Ovis aries: one gene and its partner. The protein of the gene in region 2 binds, or shares a complex with, the protein of the main gene of each other region. Links are inferred from orthologs where the notes say so. Each region holds a gene or a part of one and is shown on either strand. Other genes may lie near its edges. The genes, in order: GABARAPL2 and IRGQ.

Evidence for each region.
Region 1: the proteins of IRGQ (region 2) and GABARAPL2 are in contact, whole or in part, in a crystal structure (PDB 8Q6Q), measured with the Homo sapiens proteins. The link is inferred for Ovis aries from reciprocal best matches to the Homo sapiens genes IRGQ and GABARAPL2. Residues at the interface, in NP_001007562.1 of Homo sapiens: Asp7, Thr9, Leu11, Pro47, Leu49, Phe57, Pro70, Trp71, Glu74, Pro181, Ala182, Gln183, Asp184, Gly185, Phe186, Glu187, Val188, Leu189; in NP_009216.1 of Homo sapiens: Ser10, Glu12, His13, Cys15, Val16, Glu17, Ala19, Lys20, Ile21, Ala23, Lys24, Tyr25, Arg28, Pro30, Lys46, Lys48, Tyr49, Leu50, Val51, Pro52, Phe60, Ile63, Arg67, Phe104.

The regions. Positions count from the first base shown.
Region 1 is NC_056067.1:2,349,833-2,357,329, reverse strand, and holds the start of GABARAPL2 (gamma-aminobutyric acid receptor-associated protein-like 2), read right to left. Parts: upstream 3,908-7,497; 5' UTR 3,811-3,907; coding exon 3,777-3,810; intron 3,452-3,776; coding exon 3,396-3,451; intron 2,268-3,395; coding exon 2,095-2,267; intron 1-2,094. UniProt on the Homo sapiens protein: Ubiquitin-like modifier involved in intra-Golgi traffic. Modulates intra-Golgi transport through coupling between NSF activity and SNAREs activation. It first stimulates the ATPase activity of NSF which in turn stimulates the association with GOSR1.
Region 2 is NC_056067.1:51,629,231-51,636,737, forward strand, and holds the start of IRGQ (immunity-related GTPase family Q protein), read right to left. Parts: upstream 4,387-7,507; 5' UTR 4,266-4,386; coding exon 4,256-4,265; exon of another isoform or gene 4,108-4,255; intron 3,800-4,107; coding exon 3,268-3,799; intron 1,907-3,267; coding exon 568-1,906; 3' UTR 1-567. Other genes in the region: ZNF576 (zinc finger protein 576), read left to right, coding at 4,850-4,878, 5,239-5,339, 6,938-7,365. UniProt on the Homo sapiens protein: Autophagy receptor that specifically promotes clearance of misfolded MHC class I molecules by targeting them to the lysosome for degradation.

The DNA of each region.
Region 1 (7,497 bases), about 49 Mb from region 2:
TTGGGGAGGAAGTGATGAAGCTGAGTCAAAACTGTAGCTTTAGGAGGAGACTGCCAATCTTGTCTGTGCAGGAATCAGGTGATCAGCCCAAGGATGTCACATGCCTCTTTTGTTTATAAGCAAACTTGTTTTGAAGACTAAAACCCCCAAACAAAGAACTGCTGCCTTAAATGTGGGCCAGGAAGTCATTAACTGGAGCCAAAGGCGCTGAAGGATCTGGGTGGAGGGGCTGGTTAGTGTGCCTTGGGTCACCACTGTAACCTGTTTTAAGGAGGATTCTTACCAGGTTGGAAAAGCAAATAAAACTTAAGAGAGAAAGCAGCCTCTGCTACCCTGAGAATCACTTTTCATTTCCAATTCTACTGGAGGAGAGGCATTAGTTAAAATCTGCAGCCATTGTAATTGCTACATTAACATAATCTTAATGTCTCCAGAAGCCTGCTTCATTTCTTCAAAAAGTATCAGAAGATCAGGATCAAGGAAAACAAAACTCAAGGCTACAGGTCCTACTCACAAACTTTTTCCCACCCAGAAGCCAACTCTGGGAAGGAGAACACACAGGGCCGCCAAGGGGCTGCACAAGCTGCAGGTGGCATGAAGACTGATTTACCTCCACCTCCCCACCACCTGCAAGGAAACGGAACATGACCGCAGATGCCCAGGGCTTCCCTAGCCTCCCCTGGAGAAGAATGCACCCAGCACCACAGTGCCCAGAGGCCTGGAAGGAAGGCCGAGAGCCCAGCGGGGTGACAAGATGACCCCTGGCAACACCACAGCTTCCTAAGCTCGAGCTGTAAGCAGGCCATGGCGCCCTTTAGGCAGAGCCTGGCCTTTCTCCTCAGGCAGAGCCTTGGCCTAATGGAAGGCAGACCTTCCATTCGCCCCTGCTGCTACTGCTGCTGCTAAGTCGCTTCAGTCATGTCCGACTCTATACGACCCCATAGATGGCAGCCCACCAGGCTCCCCCGTCCCTGGGATTCTCCAGGCAAGAACACTGGAGTGGGTTGCCATTTCCTTCTCCAATGCGTGAAAGTGAAATCCCTCAGTCGTGTTCGACCCTCAGCGACCTCACAGACTGCAGCCCACCAGGCTCCTCCGTCCATGGGATTTTCCACGCAATCCTCTGCCAAACATCAGGAAGCAGAAGTGTCAGAGAATGGGAAAGAGAAAACCTTAAAAATAGCCAAAGTTATTCCATTCGTAGGAAATGGGACTAGAATTTGGCTTAGGCCTTTCTTGGAGTTTTCAAGGATTTTCAAAAGAAGCATATTTTGGCTACACTGGGCTAGTTCCCAGGGCTTCTTAAAGCCTTAGCATCAGAAGTACTACTTTTGGGGGGATAACAAAATGAAACTCAGGAGGAAGGGAGCCAGCATCTGGCTCTGTTACTCAAATCAGTAACAGAAAAGAACTGACCAGGGGTACAGATTGAGCCAGAAAATTCTCCTCTCTCCACAGGAGACTAAAGCTAGGCTGTCGCCTACCTTGAAGAGAACTGTAATGCCCCTGCCTCAATTCAGGCCCCAAATATCCCAAAGACTGCTTCCAGGCAGCACAACCGCAAGAACAAGAGGGCAGCTACTGACAGAGCAAAGGGAGGTGTAAGTCTGTAAAGAGCCGTCTCCGGGTACCTGAGGCTCAGGCAGCGGACTCTCACAGTGGCCAGGACTGAGCCTGGAGAGCGAGCGAGCAGGCAGGGTGCTTAACTGAAGCTGAGCTTCAGCAGGGCCCACAGGCTCCTGGGGAAGAACGACAGGACTTATTTCATGGATCATTTGGAAAAAAACCTCATTTCAGGCTTCAGTTCTACTGATGGCTTAAGCCTAAGTAAGTCCCGAACTATTAAAAAGGATTCTTGGGTATCTGAGGCTGATTTCATCTTTTTTTTAAAAAAAGTCCAGGCCTTGCTCTGTTTTCTTAACCCAAAGTACACACACATCTATTGCAGCCCTTTCTTGTTTTCCTTGAGCTCCTGATGTCAGGGAGCACAAAATTCAGATTTCTAATCAGGATCTCTAAAAGTTTTCAGACTTCCAAAGTTTTGAGTCCTGTAAGCAACCAAGCAGATGTCCAATACCAGTAAACACCCCTCACCTGGACTGTGGGACTGTCTTATCCACAAACAGGAAGATTGCCTTTTCAGAAGGAAGCTGGATCCTTTTCCTGATGATCCACATGAACTGAGCCACAGTGATGTCGGATGGAACCAGATACTTCCGTTTGTCAATGTCAACAATCTGAGAGCCTGAGACCTTTTCCACAATCACCTGCAAAAGCAAAGTGCGGTCATGACTGGACTGCGGACGCGGTGCCCTGGCTGCGCACTGCTGGAGTGCTGATCCACAGTGTGTGGGCAAGGAGGTGGGTGGGAAACGGCATAACATGAGCAAACATGCCCCTGGCGTAATACGCCACACACTCTGGAGATTAAGAATTGATATACATGTGTTACAGGCAACAGCAAGTGCTTTTCTGTGGTCAATTATTAATACAGTTCTCACCCCTGATCTCAGCATGCATAAGAGAAACACAGCTCTCACTACAAAGTTTTTCAATACTTTGGGCAGACTCAAGAATATCTGGTGAAGGGTTCCTCTACAGCCTCTTACTCCAGGGCCCCAGAATGTATCTGCCTTCACACTACAGGGGAATTAAGATCCCAAGGAACACAGGAAATGAGAAGGGACAGATCAATGGGGATGACTGGCAACTCCAGGCAGCCAAGGACCAAGCTCTTCACTTGGCCTGTTGCTTCTCTCTGAACTAAGTTTCAAATCTATCCCTCCTGCCTCTCCCCAAAGGAACTGTTCATAAGCAATAAACTACAATAACAGGCCTGGATGTCCTCAAAAATAAATAAGGGTTACAGAAATTATTTCCCCCATCAAGGGATAAATACAGGATAAGCATTATTGATCAGCAGCGGCTCAGACTTTTTTTTTTTTGGTCAGCAAAGGATGACAGGGTCAGGGTGAGAAAAGGGAACCAGAAGTCAGGTAAAGAGGAAGGCGCAAAGTTAAAGATGAATGTCCTGAGACTTAAGTACCACTTTCAAGATCAAAGTGAACGTCTCCCTCCACCACCATTCCCTAAAGTGGTTGTGACCTGTCGCCCTGTCCTAGAACATCATTTCTTACATAATTGGCTAGGGAGCCCAGAGGCTGCAGACAGCTCGCTGGCCTAGATCGCGAGGTTCAGCACCGAAGCAACCTGAACAGCATCCACTACAGCCCGTCAAGTCGCGCCCCTCGACGGCCCCTTACCCAGTGCGGCCCATCTGCCACCACAACCGTGACTGTAGTCTAAACTTGTCAACTGTTGAGCAGCCTGGGCCCCACCACCGGCCCTAGACGGCAGGGGTGACAGGGAGGCGAGGGGGCGGGGAATGCACTCACCGGAACCCGGTCGGGGTATTTCGCTCGGATCTTCGCAGATTCCACGCATCTGTGTTCTGAGGAAGAAACACACGGGGCTGACGGCCGCGCCTGCCCGCCGGCCGGCTCCCAGAACCCCGGCCCTCCTCCCTCTGGGACCTGCGCACGCCCCCGGTCTTCTTGAGCGTCCGGGCGGGCCCGGTCCTCGGGGCCCCGGCTCCAGCAGGGCCCGCAGCGGGCGGCCCGGGGCGTGTGGGCAACCGCCCTGGGGGCCAGGACCTCGGCCGCCCGAGCCCCAAGGGAAGCACCCGCCCCGCCCGGCCCAGCCTGGGGCGGCCCGAGTGGGGGAGGGGGCCCCCGCCGCCCCCGCCCCCACGGCCGGGCCAGCGGCCGAGCGCTCACCCAGCGAGTGGTCCTCCTTGAACATCCACTTCATGGCGGCGGCGAAGAAGGGACGCAGCCGGCTCTCGGAGCCGCGGAGCTCAGCGAACCAACCACAACAACAACGACGGCGGCAGCGGCGGTGACTACACGGCAGGCGGGACTTCCGGCTGCCGGAGCCTAGCAACCGGGAGGGGCGGGGCTTCCGGCGCGGCTCGCGGGACACCGCGTCAAGGGGCGGGGCCTCACGTCAAGGGGCGGGGCAGGAGAGGGGCGTAGAGGGGCTCTCGGCGGAGCGGGGAATAGAGTGGGCGACTGGGAGGTCTGTGAGGGATACTGATGACTGCGGAGCGGGTATTCGAGAGCTGGTAGCAGGCGTGGGGTCTCGGTGGACGTTAGTAAAGGGAAGAGGTGAGCAGGTCCGGCCGACAGGATAGAGTCCTTACAGGAGTCTGTTCAATAGACAAGTCTGACTGGGGCGTTGGTGACAAGAGGGCAATTTTGTAGGTTTCAGTGACAGAAGAGGTTGCTCTGGTGGCCTGTGACGGCAAGGGGTCTAGTTAGGGCTTTGACACTTTGGGGAGGTTTCTTTGGAGTGACTGCAGGTTCAGGGCTCAGTCTGAGGGATGTGACTGGTTTGAGGGGACTGTGTGGAGAGGGGTACTGATGACAACGCGGGAGTTCAGTACTGAGGACAATCATAATTGTTGCGTTGGACCTAGGAATTGGGATTTGAAACAAATCCCAGCTCCTTCCCTTATTCACGAATAAATGAATAAACGTTTAAGAAAAGTTATATTAACTATGCATTTGGGGAGTGTAACACCACACTGATCACAAAGAGACCATTTAACCTTAATTGCCAGAGGAGTTAGAGGTGACTGACTGTCAGACCCAGAGAATTCCCCTGATACCCAGTCATGAAGTGGGTTTCTTTGGCATTCAGCATCACAACCTAAGGGGTGTGTGTGTGTGTGTGTGTGTGTGTCCTGCCTTCAGGTTCTCCAGTGACTATTCCTTTCTTCCTCCAAGACTCACCAGGGCAGTGTGCTCTGGTTCATCCCTCTGTTTATGAGCTGGTGAATATGTAAGAAGATATTCACTTAATTGGGCATGTGATCCTTGCCACGTGCTTGCGATTCTGATGCATCTGAAAGGCTTGTATGTTTGAATATTGTCATTTATCATTTCCTAAGTTGAAATTCCTGATGGATGCTGTGGAATATAGCTTCATTCTAGAAGTATTTCTTGTTATTTTAACATTAACCTTAATTGCCAGAGGAGTTAGAGGTGACTGATTGTCGGACTGTTTTTTATGAAAAATCCTTTGAATTTCATGCCTGGAAATTTTTGTTGTTGCATGAAAGAGCACTGTTCTAAGTGTTGGTGAAAAGCAGCAAACAGAACAGACAATACTTCCACTCTTACGGAGTTTGCATTCTAGTGGGACAAAATGAAAAAAAATATGTTGGGTAATGATAGGTGCTGTTTAGAAAAATAAAGCATACTTGGTAACTAGTGAGTCACCATGATGGTGGGAGTGAATGCTAATTAGATAAAGTGGTTGACATATTTCTGGGAATACGAAGGAGTCCCATGTGACTGGAGCTGAATATATAAGAAGGTGTGCATTAGGAAGTGAGACCAAAGAGATCTAGAAAAGTGGGTTGAGCTTTGAATTCCATTTGAAGAACTTTAGATTTTATTTAGAATGGAATGAGAAGGCAGTGGAGGGTTATAAGCAAAAGTGTGACATGATATGACTTTCCTAGCTTCTGTGTAGACAGTAGATTATAGGGGGTTGAGGATGGAAGTAAGGGAACAGTTAAGAGGCTATTGTGATAATCCAGGTATAAGATGATGTTGGTTTAACCCAAGATAGTATCTGTGGAGGTGATGGGAAGCAGCTGTGTTCTAGATACATTTTGAAGGTAGATCCAACAAAATTTGCTGATCAATCGAATATGATTCGTGAGGAACAAGTCTAAGTCAGGGTTTTGGAATAATTGAGTGGTCATTTACTGGAACAGGGTGGAGCCAGAGGGGTGGGGTATGCAAATCAAGAGTTTGGTTTTGAATATAGCCTGGTGGCTCAGAGGTTAAAGCGTCTGCCTCCAATGCAGGAGAACCGGGTTCGATCCCTGGGTTGGGAAGATCCTCTGGAGAAGGAAATGGCAAACCACTCCAATATTCTTGCCTGGAGAAGCCCATGGACTGAGGAGCCTGGTGGGCTGCAGTCCTCCTGCAGTCTGCAAGGAGATCCAACCCGTCCATCCTAAAGCAGATCAGTCCTGGGTGTTCATTGGAAGGACTGGTGTTGAAGCTGAAACTCCAATAGTCTGGCCACCTGATGTGAAGAGCTGACTCATTTGAAAAGACCCTGATGCTGGGAAAGATAGAAGGCAGGAGAAGGGTATGACAGAAGATGAGATAGTTGGATGGCATCACTGACTCAACGGACAAGAGTTTGGGTAAACTCCGGGAGTTGGTGATAGACAGGGAGGCCTGGTGTACTGCACTCCATGGGGTCACAAAGAGTCGGACATGACTGAGTGACTGAACTAAACTGACAGAAGAGAGTGAGTATAAAAATGAAAATAACCTATTTTGCAAATAGAATTAAACACTAAGGAATGAAGATGGTTGTCAACCCTCTGATAGTGAATCAGTGAAGAAGTTAAAAATTGGGCCAAAGACCCCTGCTTCCCTTTACAGAGCTGGTCATTGTGTCCTAGTTCAAAGTATGTGTACACCATCTTACACCTGGAAGAACTTAGTATGCTTCTTAGTGGAGAGATTCGAAGCAACTTACAAGCATGTTTGTCACCTGATGGTCTCGAGGTGCAATGTCTGTCTTCTATCATAACCTACCTTTTTTTTTTTTATTTTTTTTGCCACATCGCACGGCAAGCAGGAATCTTAGTTTTTAGTCCCCCACCCCACCCCCAGGGATCCAACCCATGCCCAGTTCACTAGAAGCGCAGAGTCCTAACCCCTGAACCACCAGGGACTTCCCTTTACCTACCTTCCTGATGTCTTTTTCCAGTTCACCATTCTAATTGGTTTCTCTGGCTGATGACATTGTCATCTCGGACTGTGATAAGGGCATTGTATAGTTTTCCCATATGGGCACGTCTTGACCTCTCTTCTTTGCTAGGATCTCAGCTGTTCTCTTCATCGAAAACCCAATTCTAGGTTATAATAACTAAACTTATCATGGTAATCATTTTGAAATGTATAGAAATACTGAATCACTATATTGTATAACAGGAACTAACCTAATGTTGTGGTCAATTATACTTCAAAAACGAACTCATTAAAAAGAGATCAGGTTTGTGATTACCCGAGGCAAGGTGGAGGGAGGGGAAAGTTGGATGAAGTCAGTCAGAAGATACAAACTTCCAGTTATAAGATAAATGAGTACTAGGGAGGTAATGTACAACATGATAAATATAATTAACACTACTTTATTTTGTAGATGAAAGAGTAAATGCTAAGAGTTGTCATCACAGGGGAAAATTTTTTTCTATTTCCTTAATTTGTAATCTATATGAGATGAGAGATGTTCAACAAATTTATTGTGGTAATCATTTCATGATGCATGTAACTCAAATCATTATGTTGTACACCTTAAACTTATACAGTGCTATATGTCAATTATACCTCAATAAATCTAGGAGAAAACCCCACTTCTAGGTTGCCTTCAAAATAGGAGTATTTATGAGTGGATCTCATTCTGAGC
Region 2 (7,507 bases):
CTCACCCCCGGAAACCTAGATCTTATATCCCTTTGTGGCTCAGAAGCCCAAGGAGTTCAGCTCCCTGGGGAACCCAGACCACCCCTCCTCCATGTCAGAATCCCTAGTGTGAAGGAGATCGCCTTCATCAGCAACCAGGGCCTCCACCTCCTCCTCCCCAGGGGGACTAGACACCTATTGGATCTAGTTTCTACTCTTGAGAGACCAAGATGGCCGCCTTTGAGGAGTCCAAACCCTCAACTCCCTTGAGGAGTTCCATAGTCTGATGGTACCCAGAGAAATCAGGAGTCCCGTCCCCAGAACTCTATTTCCCTTCAGGACCCAGGAATCCTGGTGACCAGACGTCACCCACTCGAGGCCCTAGTCAGAGCCCTCATTCCCTTCAAGCACCCAGGATTCTGACTGGCAGACCCCTTGCTCTGTGATCCTTCAGGCCCAGACATCCCATGCTAGAGTCTGGACCCCGTGCCCTCTCCCTCTCACCGGGTCTTGAGTCCTCCGGCCCTGGCAGAGCCAGGCAGCTGGGACCCTGGGCACACCCGGAAGCCCCGGCCCTCAGCCCAGCTCTCACTGCGCGGGCACCTGCGGCGCCAGCACTGCCTCGGCGTCCGCGCGCATCTCGTCCAGCGCCTGCAGCAGGACGCCGTGCGCCGCTCGGTAGCCCAGGCCCCCAGTGGCCGCAGCTCCGCCCGCCGGCCACAGGAAGGAGAGCGCGCCCAGCGCCGCGCCCCCGGCGGTGCCCTCGCCCGCCCACGAGCCCAGCCTCGCTTCCACTTCGGCTCGCGTCACCGGGCCCGGGAAGCGCGTCCGCTTGGCCAGCTCCCCGGGCGCCAGGCCCAGCGCGCGCTCGCGTCGGGCCAGTGCCGCGGGTTCGAGCCCCAGCGCCCGTCGCCACTCCGCTAGCTGACCCCGCAGGAGCGCCACGTCGCACGCCCAGCCCAGCCCTGGGACTGGGGCCGCCGCTGCCGCCAGGCTAGCCAGCAGGGCCGGCCTCCACGCCCCGGCCCGCAGCGCAGCAGCCTTGGTCCGGGCCGCGCGGGGAGACGCGGGCGGCAGCGCGAGCAGCAGCGCCCCCGCCTGGGCCGCGGGGAGCGCGCGCCGCAGCCACTCGCATAGCCCCGGGAGCCCGCCCGGTCGCAGCGGGAACACGGGCGGCGGCGCCTCCTCTAGCACCTCCCACGTTTCGTCCTCGGGGCTCAGGGCAGCTGCGCGCTCTGAGTCCCCGCTGCCGGATTTCTTCGCGCTGACGCCCACTGGCTGCAAACTCTCCGTGCCTGCTTCCTCTGAACCTTCCCCACTGCCTCCCTTTTGCAATCTGGGGCCGCGGTTCTCCTTTCCATCACTGTGGGCAGTCTCAAACCCCTCTCCGTCTGGGTTCTCTAAGCTCTCGCTGCCAGACTTCTCTGCCTTTTCCTCTTCTTCCAGAGACTCTGGGTCCTCGCCCTCGCCGTCTGTTCGCACGCAGACCAGTGGTGTATCCGGGAGCACCAAGGGCCGGACCTGGGCCCAGTCCTTCTCAGTGGGGGCCCCAGGGGTGACGAGGATGAGAGCGTCGTAGTGGGTGGTCGGGTACGGGGAGACGGTGGTGTCCGCGGAGCTCAGAGGCACGCTCCAGAGCACCACGTTGGGGCGCTCTGGGGCCGGGTAGGGCGTGGGCCCTGCAGGCGCTGCAGCAGGCACTGCACCCGGATCTTCAGGATCTAACCCGAGGAGCACGTCCAACACAAGGCCCACGTCAGCCCTACCGGCCACGGCCAGGTCCAGGCGTGCGCTGCCCAGTCGCTCCAGGCCAGCCCGAACCCACGACAGGGCCGCCTCCAGGCCCCCAGTCTCAAAGGCCTCCCGCACAGCCTCCAACTCCGCAGCGCCCAACACCTCGAAGCCATCCTGAGCTGGTGGAAGGAGCCTGCGGGGATAGGGAGGGATAGGGTCAAGGGCAGAAGAGGGGCTGGAGGCTGGAGAGCTAGCCTAGGGGGTCGGACCAGGCTAAAATGACAAGGTGGAGTTTGAAGCAAGAAAGGGAGGGGCCAGATTAACGGCACCGAGGCTAAGAAGGAAAGTAAAGTGGCTCAGTCGTGTCTGACTCTTTGCGACCCCATGGACTGTAGCCTACCAGGCTCCTTCGTCCATGAAATTTTCCAGGCAAGAATACTGGAGTGGGTTGCCATTTCCTTCTCCAGGGGATTTTCCGACTCCAGGACCGAACCCAGGTCTCCATCATTGCCTAAAGCAAGGGAGGGACTGCTCGATTGAAATCTGGCTTCCAACACAGCTGAAAATGGGGAACTGGCTAAGTCTCCCCAGGGGTTACACTCTTTGGGAGCTGGGCTTTCCAAAGGACCTGCAGGATTAAGAAAAGGCCATGCTGGGTGGGGCAAAACTCACAGTGAGCCTTAGGGCAAAAGAATCCGGAATGAATTGAGGGACTAAATGAAAACCTTGCACTAAATGCTCTAGGTGGGCAAGGTCAACACAGGCGCTCTTCCTTGAGCAGAGGCGTTAGTAGGAGTGTAAAGTCCAAAGAGGGGAGAAGCCTCATTTAATAGTTCTTAGCAAGGGCGTGGGGCTAAGGAAAAAAGAATGGTGGTGGGCTTGGAGCTGCTGCCCCTCCCTGAGGCTCTTTCAACCTCTACCAAAGGAGGCAAGGCTGCTTGGGGGTGGGTGGGGGGAGATAGGAGATAGCCAGCAGGTGGGTACAGAAAGAAGAGGGAGGGGATTAGAGAAACGAAATGGGGGAGGGCCCCCTAAACAACAAAGCTCACTGAGGGTGGGCTCTCTGGAGACTGCGATCCCTCGAGAACCAAGCAGATGGTGAGGAGGAAAGACTGGAGAGTGGAGTCTTCGGGTACAGATTTCATGAGGATCACCAGTTTGGATGCAGAGAGCAAGCCCTCCTTCACACCTTGGCTTGGGGGCAGTGTTTGGGCTTTAGGTCCGGGCCCCTCCTAGAATTCTGGCAGGGTAGCGGGACTTTTGACCTCAGAGTGCTAGCAGGAGCAGGCTGGATGACAGGCTGGGACTTCCAGCTGACCGACCCTTGGATGGGGCCTAGATGACAAAAGCACAGAGTGCTAGCTTGAGGTGGGGCCTCGCGGACCTCACGACCTGCACTCAAGGGCAGGATCTGGAGCAGGGCTTTCAGCAGATATCTCTTTAAGGTTGGTCACAAACTTGCTGCGGGATGACTTCAAAGAGCACCTTAGGGTGGAGGTATAGAGTAAATAAAGCTCCAGGCCTCTTCCACCCACCCAGAAGCTCCGCGCTTACCTCTGCAGTGCCTCGGCCTGGCTCCGCAGCGCCGCTCGCAGGCGCTCCAGCTCCTCGCAGCCGTCGGTGCTGAGGCAGTCGGTCCGTGGAACGAAGAGAGCCGCGGCGCCCAACCCGGCGCTGTCCAGCAGGGCCGCGGTCTGATCCCGGGCCTGGGCTTCATTCTGTGACTCCTCGGGTCGGAGATTCCGCACAGCCAGCAGCGGGGTCCCTCGGGCCAGGGCGGCCCGTGCTGCCTCCCCCAGGGCCGGGGCCAAGGGCTCCTCATTGCTCTCGGGGCTTGGCAGCACCAGTACCAGCACGTTGGCCTCCGCCGCCCAGGGTCCCGGCTCTGCGGGTGGGCAGCTCAGCTCGCCCAGGAAAAGGCCTGGGCCTGCAGCTCGCAGGCTGGGGAGCCCGGAATCCGGCCGTCCGTCGGGGATCTCGACCGTCTCCACATCTCTGTCGCACAGCGCTGCGATCAGCGCAGATTTTCCGGAGCCCGGAGGCCCCAGGAATAAGACGGTCACGTCACCTCGCGGCGGAGGCATAGCTGGGAAGCAAGGAGAGAGGAAGACCTGGGTCACGGAGCACCCAACCTTATTTTCTAGCCTCCCTACTCCGGTCTCACATTTCAGCCAACTATTCTGTCCCTTTCTTTCGTTCTCGGGTACCACTCCCAGGCAGCCAGAAATCTGGCGCCCAGCCTCTATTCCCCAGGGACCCGGGAGTCCCGTCCGCCCTCCTTCTGGATGGCTTTCCTTTTCCGCTTCAAAAACTCAGAAATTGGCCTCCAGCTCCCAACACCCTCTGGGATACAGATGTTTTTAACCCCTCACTCCTCCCTTCCAAATCACCAACCGAGCAAACAACCAGCACAAGGGACGGCGCAGTTGGTAGCAGGTGGTCTGCCCCTAAGAAGCCCCCGCTCTGGGGTCGGGGGACGGAGGCCTAAGAGGTTAGAGCGCCGGGATTCGGGGACGTCCAGACGCTTTCCAGGGGTTCTAACCTGACGTCATTCCCTTTAGGAGGAGGTGTGTCTTGAAAGCGTAACCTCGGGAAGACAGCGCTGTGCGGCGCTTGCGCAGAACGACGGATGGGCGCTCGCCCGCTCTCAGCGGTCGCAGGTCCTAGAACAATGAGGGAGCCAAAGCGCGTGCGCGCCAGAAGCGCCTAACACGCTTGCGCAGTAAGCACCGGTCGGTCAGGCGAGAGTTGCGTACAACGTCATCATTACGCACCCCAGTGCAGGGAAGGACCCCTCGCGTTATATTGAGGACCGAATTGGTGGGACTGCATCATTGCAGTCGGATGGCAATCCAAGATCCGGGCTTCGAAAGGCTCATCAGGCGAAAGGCCGTGGAAAGCCTCGGGACTTTGAGACTCGGTGGGCCCTACCCCGTTTCCCTTCGGGTGACGGCGCTGTGACGAGCAACTGACAGGCGCAACGAAAGGCAGCCCCTCTGCTGTCTTGGAGAAAAGCAGAAACCTAGGCTACTGGCCTCGGGAGGGAGCCGAGGGCAGTGCTTGGGGGCAGCGGGTCACAACGGCTGAAAGCGCGCGTGGGAAGCGGGGTCTCAGAGTTTCGGGATGTCAGAGAAAGATGTCTCTCGGGAGGAGGCGGGCTAAAGCGTGGGTACCACTACCTGCCTCAAGACAGGTGGAAGAGAAGGGGATGAGGCTGGTGTCCAAAGATCAGGGGTCCCTAGCTCTGTGTTCAGGGAATTGGTTTGATGTAGCAGGCATAGGTCACTCAAGTGAGAAGGCGCTAAGAGAAGTCACAGAGCTGAGGAGCTGAATCTTTTGGAAGGTTGAATTCTCTACTGAGAGCTGTTAGGTTAGAATTCAAAGAGATGTTATCTCATGGAAGTCAAAGACGGGCAAAGTAAGCTTGTCAAAGATCACAGGATTAGGGGGCCCTCTAAATTTGGCTATAGATAAGCGACTTCACTTGATTTACTATTCTGCCATGCATGCTCCTCTCTTGACCAGAGGGGTCCCAGTCACCATGGAGGACCGGCACTCCAAGCAGACCATGGAGCAGCAGGATTCGTCCGAGGAGAGAAGTTCCCGAAGTCCGAGAGGTGACCTCTGTGAGTACTGCTGACCAGAGGAGGGTGGGTTGCAGGAGCTGTGATGCTAAAAGGACTTCTATAGCATCTCAGTGTTCAAAGCATTGTGGGGACTTACTCGTTAGGAAGGAGCTGTTAATGGTCCATGAGCTGCCCTCTCAGGACCCCGACCCTTGTTACCCTCAGAGGTAACAAGGAGCAGAGCTCCCTGCTCTGTCCACATAAATATGAAAGGGATGCACTTCAGAGGCAAAGAGTGGCATCCAGAGAGGCTTGGGGTGGGAGAAATGATTGGGAAGGGCAGTGAGCCCCAGTCCCAACCCTGCCCTGGACTTACAGTGCGCCTTGGACCTCAGTTTCCCTGTCAAAAGGGGTGGCCACTCCTCACCTCACAGGGCTGGCTGGTATGAGGATTAGCTGCAGAAAAGGAGAAAGCTTAATATTAATGAAGATAGCCAATTTGACATAGAACAGCAACAGCTTCTACTGAATGCTAATTACGTGTTAGATGCATTCTAAGATTTTAACACTTGTCTCAGTCTGTCCTCCTAACAGACTCTATGAAATTGATAATTATCACTGTCATATGAAGTGAGGGAACTGAGGCAAAGAGAGGTTATGTGTTTATAACAGTGAAAGCTAGTGTTAGTGCTTTCTAGCCGGAGACCACCAGGAACACACGTGGAGTTGAGCAAATCAGGCTTATTGCTCATTGTGCTGAGGAAGTACACACACTGTGGGGCATCTCATAAGAAAGGACTTCCCTACCACTGGGGAAGGGTTCAAGAAAGGGGTTTTGCTCTGGATAGAGGTTGCCAGGAAGCAAGGGCTCTTAGATGGCTGCTCACTTAATAAATCTGACCTAGGAGGAGGGAGGAACAAGGGAACGCTCCAGCTCTGACTGGCCAAGCAGCAGCAGGCACTCACGTAAGCCAGGACAGGGGGCTGTCTGGCCATTTCTCATGGCCCAGACAATGTTCACGTTTTGTCTGTGTTCAGAACAGCACCATGGTGTGGTCTTGATTTGCCCCAGTCACAGCACGGCCTTGTTTGACAGCGTTCTGTGGAATTGTTTATGCTCACCAGGAGAATGCCAAGGCCTAGCTGTGCCAGGCCAGCCCCTGGCTGTGGGGTTTCTTCTTTCTCAACAATAATTATTGCAAACCATTGTGTAGCACCGTTCTAAACACTATTTATAAGTTCATTCATTTATTCCTTCCAACAACCATATGAGGTGGATACTAATACAATGATTACCCCATTTTCCAGATGAAAACACTGTTTTCCCTTGCCAGGGGAAATCAGTTCCAGGCAGTCTGGCTCCAGAGGCTGTGCCCTAATCATACAGCTCTGTCAGAAGGGCAGACTGCCTGGGTTCCAGTTCTAACTCCACCATTTCACTTCCCAGCCTCATGACAGTCAGCAAGTTGCCTCAGCTTTTGCAGCCCTGGTCTGCTCATTCACAAAATAGGTCCAGTAAGTCTCCCGTCCAGGCCTGGCACAGCACCTGGCACAGAGCACGTCAAGTCCTGCATGCTGGTTGTCGGCATGATTCTGGGGCTGGGAGAGGCCCTCGCCACACCTGCTGGCCTCTCCCAACCTCTCCCCCATGTCCTCAGGCCACCTGGGGGCCCTGGAGTGCACCCGCTGCCTCATCACCTTCGCCGATTCCAAGTTCCAGGAGCGCCACATGAAGCGGGAGCACCCAGCGGACTTCGTGGCCCAGAAGCTGCAGGGGGTCCTCTTCATCTGCTTCACCTGCGCCCGATCCTTCCCCTCCTCCAAGGCCCTGATCACCCACCAGCGCGGCCACGGTCCAGTGGCCAGGGCCTCCCAGCCGGCTGCACCCATCACCACACCACCCACCTTCCCCTGTCCCGACTGTGGCAAGACCTTCGGGCAGGCTGCTTCTCTGAGGCGGCATCGCCAGGCACACGAGGCCCATCCCCTTCCTGGCCCCTTTGCCTGCACAGAGTGTGGTCAGGACTTTGCCCAGGAAGCAGGGCTGCACCAACACTACATCCGGCATGCGCGGGGGGAGCTCTGAGAGTAGCTTACGCCCACCCCAGGGCCGTGGGAGCTCTGTGGCTGGTGGGATGCATGTCTGATATGGGATGGGAGCCCTGGACTTTCCTCCCTGGAAAGGCAAAGGACTCCTGAGAAACAGGACCCAGAAGATACTCATTTGG